Xenopus tropicalis: one gene and its partner. The protein of the gene in region 1 purifies or fractionates together with the protein of each later gene. This does not show direct contact. Links are inferred from orthologs where the notes say so. Each region holds a gene or a part of one and is shown in the gene's direction. Other genes may lie near its edges. The genes, in order: usp33 and robo1.

Region 1 (4,529 bases):
CACAGGGTATGACTTTTAGAAGCACACTGAAGCTATTCTAAATTGCATGAGGGTAAGCTTCTCTAAATAAATGTGTTTTAGACACCTTTTGAGGGCAAAAAGAGAATTCCAGAGGAGTGCAGCCCTTGCAAAGTCTACAGTCTATTATTTATTTTGAATCATTTGATCATTTCATTTCAAAAAACAAATCTTTGTGGGAGGCTGCCAGTCAGCATGTGTGAAATGCAGTCAGTAACAATACAGGAGTTAAAAAAAATTGGGGGAAAACAGGTTTTACATTAACAACTTATATACAGAATAACACTGTAGATAAGAAAAAAAAAAACACATGCGTTTTGACTCCAGATATGACGCTTTTGGGGGAAAGCGGGATTTCCTTTCATTAATACAGTTACTGTGCAGATCTAGGTTAAAGGAGAAGGAAAGGTAAAAACTAAGTAAGCTTTATCAGAAAGGTCTATGTAAATACAGCCATAAGCACTTACAGAAAGCTGCACTGAGTTCTCTATTAAAAGGAACACAGGATTTCTTGTCTGTTTGTTTTCCTGTGCCAGAGACACGCAGCTCTCCCCTCCCACAAGAATGCGAAGAACTCCCTCCCCCACTTAGGAATGTGTAATATGAGCCAATCAGCAGGAAGCTTCCTCATAGTCTTACACTGAGCATGTAAACCGGTCTTGGTGCAGGAGTGAGGCATTATGGGAATTTTCTTTACAGAGCTCAGAGTTTTGTTTTCCTGAGGCGTCTGATCATCTGAATGGAGAAATATGGGGAGACTTAAGGGCACTATTGAGAGAACTGAAGGTATGCCTGCAGCTTGAGATTAACTCTTTTTTAACTTTTCCTTCTCCTTTAATCACTTCCCCAGCTAGAAGCTGGCGAAATGGATTTTAGCGAAAAGGAGAAAGAAACGTTTGCCTATTAGTAAATTACCAAATTTGTACTTCTTTGCATGGGCGAAAATTCGCTCGGCAAAGAGGCACAAAGTTTCTCTAGCGCTGCACTTCTTCGCCAGTGTGAAGAGACAAATGCACCGCAAATTGCCTTTTTAATGAATTTTCGGCCTAAATAGACAATTCACCCTTTACTATATGTGCCCCATCCTCTCCTAAATTATCTGTTGTTCTGTCCCTGGAAATAAAAACACTGGGGGCCCCACCCTCGCATGCACGAACAAACCTCCCCCGCGCGCCGACGCAAGCGCGCATGCACGGGCATTTAAACTCCCATACGGAGTATGGCCTTTGAAAAAGAATAAAGATTACTTTATTTAGCCTAGCCTAGTTTCCACAAAATCCACTTTCCTTTTTTGCAGGTACTGTTGGCAACCTGAAAAACCTTTTTTTTTTTTTTCACTACTTCTTCCCTGGTGCAGGTAGAAGCTGTCAGCAGAAAAAAAATTACTTCCTTGTTGACTGACTCTTTTCAACCTGCCATTGCCGGCACCTATGAGGATTTTTTTTTCCTTCCCCCCTTTTTTTTTTGTTCCCTAAGTCTGGTCTTGGCTTCCGCAAAAACACTTATTTTCACCTTAACCTAGTCTGCACAAAAACTCTTTCCGGGAAAAGAGACTTTAACAGTAGCAAAGATGTAATTTTTTTCCGGGCACAAGTTTGCGGCGTACACCCATCTTAACTCTGAGGTACCCGCTCGTCACTACCTCAAAGCGTCATGTGACGCATCGCTGCGTTTACGTGTAGTCGTGACGCCAAGTCTCGCGTGATGAGACTTGTAACGCCGAGATTTCCTGTAAGACAGGAGCCAAGGAGCTTGCTATTGACGGCGTTGCGGGGCGTGTAAGTAGCGATGTCAAACTGTTCATACAGTACAATTCATACATGCTATTTTTTGATGTTTATACATTCACGTAGTTGGGTTTTTACACTTAACTCATATATATATAAATATATATATATTTGAAGTAGAATGCACATTTGCATACACGTATTTGTATGGAACTGATAGATGGCTTATGTATATTTCTGAATATAGGTATGATTCACATATTTATACTATACTTGTTGTCATGCCCACATTGCTGATGTAATTATTTAGAGTTGCACGTTTATGTTTACATGTAGCCAGTATACAGGCCACAACTGGCAATCTGGATATTCTGGCAAATGGCAGAGGGGCTGCTGTAAACCTACTGTAGATCTATTTATTGAACCTTTGGTGAATTCCTAAGCCGCAGTGTACTTTAGTGATTTTATCAACGCTTAACCTGTATTGCCGTGCTCTTCCAATAACTTTTAGTGCTTTGCTTTTAATTAACAGTTTATTGTGACACAGTAACTAATGTGGCTGATTTATATGTGCAGCTAACATGATTATGTAGCAATGTATGGTTTTAGATGCACATGCAGCTGGTAGATGTATTTATACGTAAATGTACGTGTATGTATATATTTATAAAGCGCTACTTTTGTATGCAGCGCTGTACAGTAGAATACATTAATACAAACGGGGTGTTAATAAGATAATAATAGATAAATACAAAGTATAACAATAAATACAGCTGCAATAAGTTAAGAGTCGAGGACACAAGAGGATGGAGGTCCCTGCCCCGTAGAGCTTACAATCTATATGGGAGGGTAACTTACAGACACAAATAGGCAAATATAAGTGCTGTAGGTCAGTAGTGGGTGACACTACAATATAAGTGCCAGTGTATACAGGCATACTGAAAGAAATCTTTGAATTCACTGGATATTGCACCATTGAGGTGTTTATATTTATTTAGAAATGTAAATGTCTGCATGCCCACAGCTGATATGTATGTATTTATTTAAACAGTAATTCAAGTTAACATTGTGTTTATTAACGCTTCACCTGCATTACCATACTCATTACCATGGGCCATTTCCATGCAGTACTAGTTAGTTTGGGTTGATATTGCTAATATACCAGGGGTAACTGGAAAATCTGTGTAAGTGCACTGTCGCTTCAATTAAATGTTTCTAGAAAGATGTCCATCTGGCTCCTGTCTTAATTTGTTGTGCACAGGATATACCTTCATCCTAAGATGCTTGCGTTTCTGTACTGTCTTTCCTCTCACATTTTTCCCTGGTAAACTATATCACTAATCCATGATTTTTTATTTAAAGCAGTATTTTCCTTTAATGTGCCCTAAAATATTCAGCTTTAAGCTTCACAGCATACCCTTCTATTTTCTCTTTTGCTCATACTGGCTCTAAAAAACAGTAGTATTCATCTTATACGAGCTGATTTGGCAGTTTACCCCTGACTGCATTCCCTTGCGCCTAGGTGCCTACATAGATCAAGTATAGATCAGGAATTGATTTGCCTGCTGTCAGAATAGTACACGTGTGTTTAAGGGCTCATACTCATGAGAAACAGTAGTTCGATTCGTGCTTGGGACATAGGTTTGAGGGCACGTAAATGCATTTGCTAATTGCTTGTACTCGTGAGCATTCAGAGTTGGGTTTTCTTGCATCCGCATTTCACCAGGACTACCCGGAAAAAAACCCACGCCATTTTGGTGGGAAAAAAAACAATCTTCTTCAGGTGGCACCCTGGATGGATTTTAACAGTACAGCATATTTGTCAAAGATATCAAGAGAATTCTACTCAATTACCATAAGAATCTCTAATTCATTAGGTTGTTCCAGGTTTCCTTTTGACTGTATGGAAAAATTTGATTTTGGTGTACTTATCTGTGTGCCATGTAGTTAGTTAATACATTTTACATTTCCATAGCTGCTAAAAATGATCTATATGTGTATTATAAATAAATTATTTTTTTATGCTTAAGAATAATTTGAAAAGAGGTGCCCTGATTGGGATGAGCAGACTCCTAGCATCACACATAAGAGCAGTTTAGAGTGTATATATGGTCAGCAATTTGAAACTCTATGTAACATTTTTAGATGCAAGTCTTATTTCTCTCTCCGTATATCCGTGTAAAGAGAATATTAAAATTAAAAAAAAATTTTTGGCCATTAAATTAATAATTTGTTTTGTTAGCAGCAGTCCCATGTATTGCCTAATCAGTAGAGATCAATAATCTGTGTACATCCTAATGAGAAACTGCAACCTTTGTATTCTGTGGCATTTTAAAGGAACAGTAACACTAAAAAATAAAAGTGTTTTAAAATAATTAAAATATAATGTACTGTTGCCCTGCACTGGTAAAAGTTGTGTGTTTGCTTCAGAAAGACTACTGTAGTTAATAGAAATAGCTGCTGTGTAGCCACGGGGGCAGCCATTTAAATTGAAAAAAGGAGAAAAGGCACAGGCTACATAAGAAGATAACAGATAACTGTGAAGAATACAATGGGAATCTATGCTACTTATTGTTATCTGCTTAGTAACCTGTGCCTTTTCTCCTTTTTTCAATTTCAATGGCTGCCCCCATGGCTACACAGCAGGGTATTTATATAAACTGTAGTAGTGTTTATGAAGCAAACACACAACTTTTACCAGTGCAGGGCAATAGTACATAATATATTAATTATTTTTATACACTTTCATTTTTTGGTGTTACTGTTCCTTTAACTAGGATTTGC
Region 2 (4,293 bases), on another chromosome or scaffold:
CATTAACATAGTGTTTAGTAGTGATAGTGATCTAAATGTAAGTGATCTACATGTAGATCTACATGTAGTGATCTAAATGTAATTTTCTACTTCACATATAGCACATGAAATTAGACAATTTCTCAGATCTCCAGCCTAAGGGTACTGGCACACATGGAGATTAGACGCCCGCTAAATGTTCACTATCGCGGAGGACTAATCAGTCCAAAATTCTTTCCTACTGCCAATAATGTAAATCGCCAGTGGGAAAACTTACGTGGTGCTTTATTTTTCTGAGGTTTCCTTCCTGCGGTAGCAAAGACTTATCTCCTTAAGTGCCAGTATCCTAAAGCTTAGTGTTTACAGTTATGTGTAATTGAGTTTTTGTTGGTGGGTGTATATGTTTGTCTGCTTGCTACAGGTGTCCGCATTTGTGAGTGTGTAGGCTATAAGTATTTGTGTATGTGCTACTGGTATCTGTGTGTAGTGTGTGCGCTACTAGTGTCTGTGTATGGGATTGTAGTGCTTGTGTGTGTAGGGTACTGGTGTCTCATAGTGTTTGTGTATGTGCTACTGGTGCCAGTGTGTGTGTGTGCTTCTGGTGTCAGTGTGTAGTGTTAGTGTGCTACTAGTGTCTGTGTTTGTGTGCTACTAGTGTCTGTGTGGGTGTGGCCGTCAGTGTCCATCTGGGTGTGCGAGTTCTAAAGGTAATTTTCTGGTTTACCAATCTCACATAAAGTTGGCACATCTTTTTATCTAGTTACAATGAAATATTTCATGCCACAGCTGTTTCTGGCCTGCTGCCCTCCCTCTTTTTTGTTTGCTATAAACAGCTCTTAGTTTGCAGCTCCCCTTCTTTCACAAGATTCTCTTTTTTTTCCCCCCTCCGCTGTCCCAACAAAGAGTAACTCCCGAGGGGGCTCCGAGTGTCATGAGATGCAGCGATGATGGCAAGTGATCACAGTCAATAGCTTTGATTAACAATAAGGTAGAAAATTAGCAATGCCGGCATTCAGCCACCCTGCCTTGCCTTCTCCATATGCTCAGTAGTGCCGGCACCTCTTGCCTCACAGCATGCACTCCATGCACTCCAGCCAGTCCCCATGCTGAGAGGCAGCAGGGAAGGTGCAGTGGAGAGGTTACCATTAAGACAAGTGCAGATATCAACTCCAGAAAGAGAAGTGAAGGAAATAAGATATTCATGAAAGTGCCCTGGGATTCCTAAACATGATGAGACTTCCATCTCTGCTGTTGCTTCATGTCTTCCTTCCATGCATGGACCTACATGTAACTGGAAATGTTTGGAACAAAATTGCATTTTCTCTTGCCACTGTGACCCCATCTGCGGCTTTGATATATTTTTCAACAGACTCCGATGATCTTGACCGGGGGTTGGACAGCGGGACGGCACTTCCTACATCTGATCATGATGACAATTCGCTGGTCTATACAGGTAGGGTTGGTCTTTCTGAACTTCTCACTTTCACTTACTTTGGATTCTTTTTAACATTGTAGAAAAATTAAGGTAGATATTTTCAAAAATTACTATACAGGTATGGGATCCTTTATTTAGAAACCCGTTATCCAGAACGCTACAAATTATGGAAAGGCCATCTCCCATAGACTCCATTTTTCTTTGTAATAAAAACCCAATACCTTGTACTTGATCCCAACTAGGATATAATTAGTCCCTTTTGGAGGCAAAACTATCCTATTGGATTTATTTAACATTTAAATGAGCTTTAGTGGAATTAAACCCCTTATCTGGAAAACCCCAAGTCCCGAGCACTCTGCATAACAGGTCCCATACCTGTGTATGGAGTCAACAGTACAGCATTTAGCAATTAACATGGTATGCCTTGTAGGATGTGAAAATGTCCATGGTACATATGAAGAAAATGATCAAGTCATGAAAGGAGCTTGCTTATGATGTACCCCTAGTATAGCAATGATTGACACTTTAAAGAAAATGCCAAATATATGTAAAGTAAGGTATTTATTTTGAAAATCCAGTGTCACTTCCTAGCTCCCTATACATAATACAGGTATGGGATCCATTATCCAGAATCCCATTATCCAAAAAGGATGATTTTCTTTTTCTCTGCAATAATAAAACAGTACCTGTACTTGATCCCAACTAAGATATAATTACCCCTTATTGGGGGCAGAACAGCCCTATTGGGTTTATTTAATGGTTAAATGATTCCCTTTTCTCTGTAATAATAAAACAGTACCTTGTACTTGATCCCAACTAAGATATAATTACCCCTTATTGGGGGCAGAACAGCCCTATTGGGTTTATTTAATGGTTAAATGATTCCCTTTTCTCTGTAATAATAAAACAGTACCTGTACTTGATCCCAACTAAGATATAATGATCCTTATTTGTGGCAAAACATTACTATTGGGTTTATTTAATATTTAAATTCATTTTTAATAGATTTAAGGTATTAAGATCTAAATTACAGAAAGATCCATTAGGTCCCGAGCATTCTGGATAACAGGTCCCTTATCTATATATCCAAAAATAGTCTCAATGTGCCTGGGTATTGTACACAACAAGAAAGGGTGCCCTGTATAACCGAGCAGCAATAATGGTGCCCTTTCCATGTGCCTTTGGGTGAAATTAAATTCCAGGGAGAAGAAGATCCAACAAAGTGTTTCATAGGTTAGAGTTGTGGTGTCTCATTATCTGACTCCTGTAAGTGTTTCATTGTCTCAGCTAGTTGTATGTGTTATATCTGTTAATAAGCTCAACAATATGGATTGGTTGGTTGCAACTGGTGTCAGTTTGTAATTGAATTCATGCTAAACATGAGTGGTTTGAGCAACAGCAAGTAGCACTACAATACAGGTTCATTGTGCTCATTATAGAAAAAACAAGTGTAAATAATAAGAGTTACATTTTTAAAATGTCCTCATTAATACAGCTCCCCCCACCACAACACGGAGTAGTTGAGAACTACAAATCCCATCATTCTTCTTACTCAATGTCAAGTTGCAATTCCCAAGAAATGGGGGACCTTGGGTTTGACATCTCTGTAAAGTGTATTGGACTGTCATCTAATCTGCCTAATGCGTTGGCCCCTTTTCTTTATACTCCCAGTTTGCAATGATATATTTTGCATAACAAAGATCCATCAAAGCCTTGAAAGGTTCCATTGCCCTAGGCCTTCAACTGTACAAACCCACTCGGGTCTCCCTATCATATTCATTAGGCTCATTAGCATGCCCCCCCCCCCCTTAACTAATACATCAAGCCATTTCCCAGATCTACAAATCATTTCCCTGAATTCCACCTGCTATGGAAGTATATCCATATACCCTCAATATTATTTACTGTTGGGAGGAGCTACTTTTTATCATTGTTACCGGCGCACCTCCGTTAATCTGTCACAAGCACATCATTTATGCTGCATTGTGACTTCTTTTCTTTGCAGGAAATTGTTTTTGTGCTAGACGAGAGCTTTTGTTCTTTTTTTTAATGCTCGCTGTACAGATTGGGTCACAAAGAGCAGGACAGACATGATTGACAATATTTAGATTGCTGCCACGAAGCCAGGCTCGCCAGATGACAATAGCAGCCTACATTCTTCAAATGCGGACATGCGAATCTATTCACTGGGAGATATTGTTCGATACGAGGGGTTTTCTAAAAAATTGTGTCTTTTTGTTGTTGTAGCAGTTATCCAAGAGATGGATTTCACATAGCTTCATGCTATTAATCAGTAGGGAACTGCAACATTCATTGAGCTAGGGTCTTATTCTCAAAGTAAAAAGCAATGCTTATCATTTGTATTTTCATAGTAAAGGAAAATGTTAGTTTTATAGAGAGACCTTTAGAAAAGAGAAGGAAAAAGAAATAAGTATTCAACTGCAATGCTGTGGTCCAATAACAACTATTTGATAACTCTCAGTTAAGCAGATTTATCAAAGTGTATGCTTCTAAAAATCCCATAGGAATGAATAGAAAGTGGGTGAATTTTTCCGTGGTGAGCTCTAATCTCACATTTGATAAATCTGCCCCATAGTTGTATGTTGCTGATTTAGTGAGAGCTGGGTCTAGTCTATACTAGTAATCTTTCAGCCTATGTTGGATAATAGTCTATGCCCCATATGTAATAAAAGGAAGTAGGTTTGCCCAGGAGCAGTAACCCATAGCAACCAATAAGATATGTGCTTTTAAACAGGTGACCAGTAAATGCTGCCTGCTGATTGGTTGCTATGGGTTACTGCTCCTGGGCAAGCTTAGTGCCTTTTATTACCTAACCCCCTAAATTAGTCTTTAGCCTACGTTGGGTCACTTATCCACAT

The links.
Region 2: the proteins of usp33 (region 1) and robo1 purify together in Homo sapiens (affinity purification with western blotting; 5 studies listed by BioGRID and IntAct, with this or other methods). This does not show direct contact. The link is inferred for Xenopus tropicalis from reciprocal best matches to the Homo sapiens genes USP33 and ROBO1.

What each region holds. Positions count from the first base shown.
Region 1 is NC_030680.2:80,321,277-80,325,805, forward strand, and holds the start of usp33 (ubiquitin carboxyl-terminal hydrolase 33), read left to right. Parts: upstream 1-1,686; 5' UTR 1,687-1,796; intron 1,797-4,529. UniProt on the Homo sapiens protein: Deubiquitinating enzyme involved in various processes such as centrosome duplication, cellular migration and beta-2 adrenergic receptor/ADRB2 recycling.
Region 2 is NC_030678.2:25,240,997-25,245,289, forward strand, and holds the start of robo1 (roundabout homolog 1), read left to right. Parts: upstream 1-1,191; 5' UTR 1,192-1,206; coding exon 1,207-1,432; intron 1,433-4,293. UniProt on the Homo sapiens protein: Receptor for SLIT1 and SLIT2 that mediates cellular responses to molecular guidance cues in cellular migration, including axonal navigation at the ventral midline of the neural tube and projection of axons to different regions during neuronal development.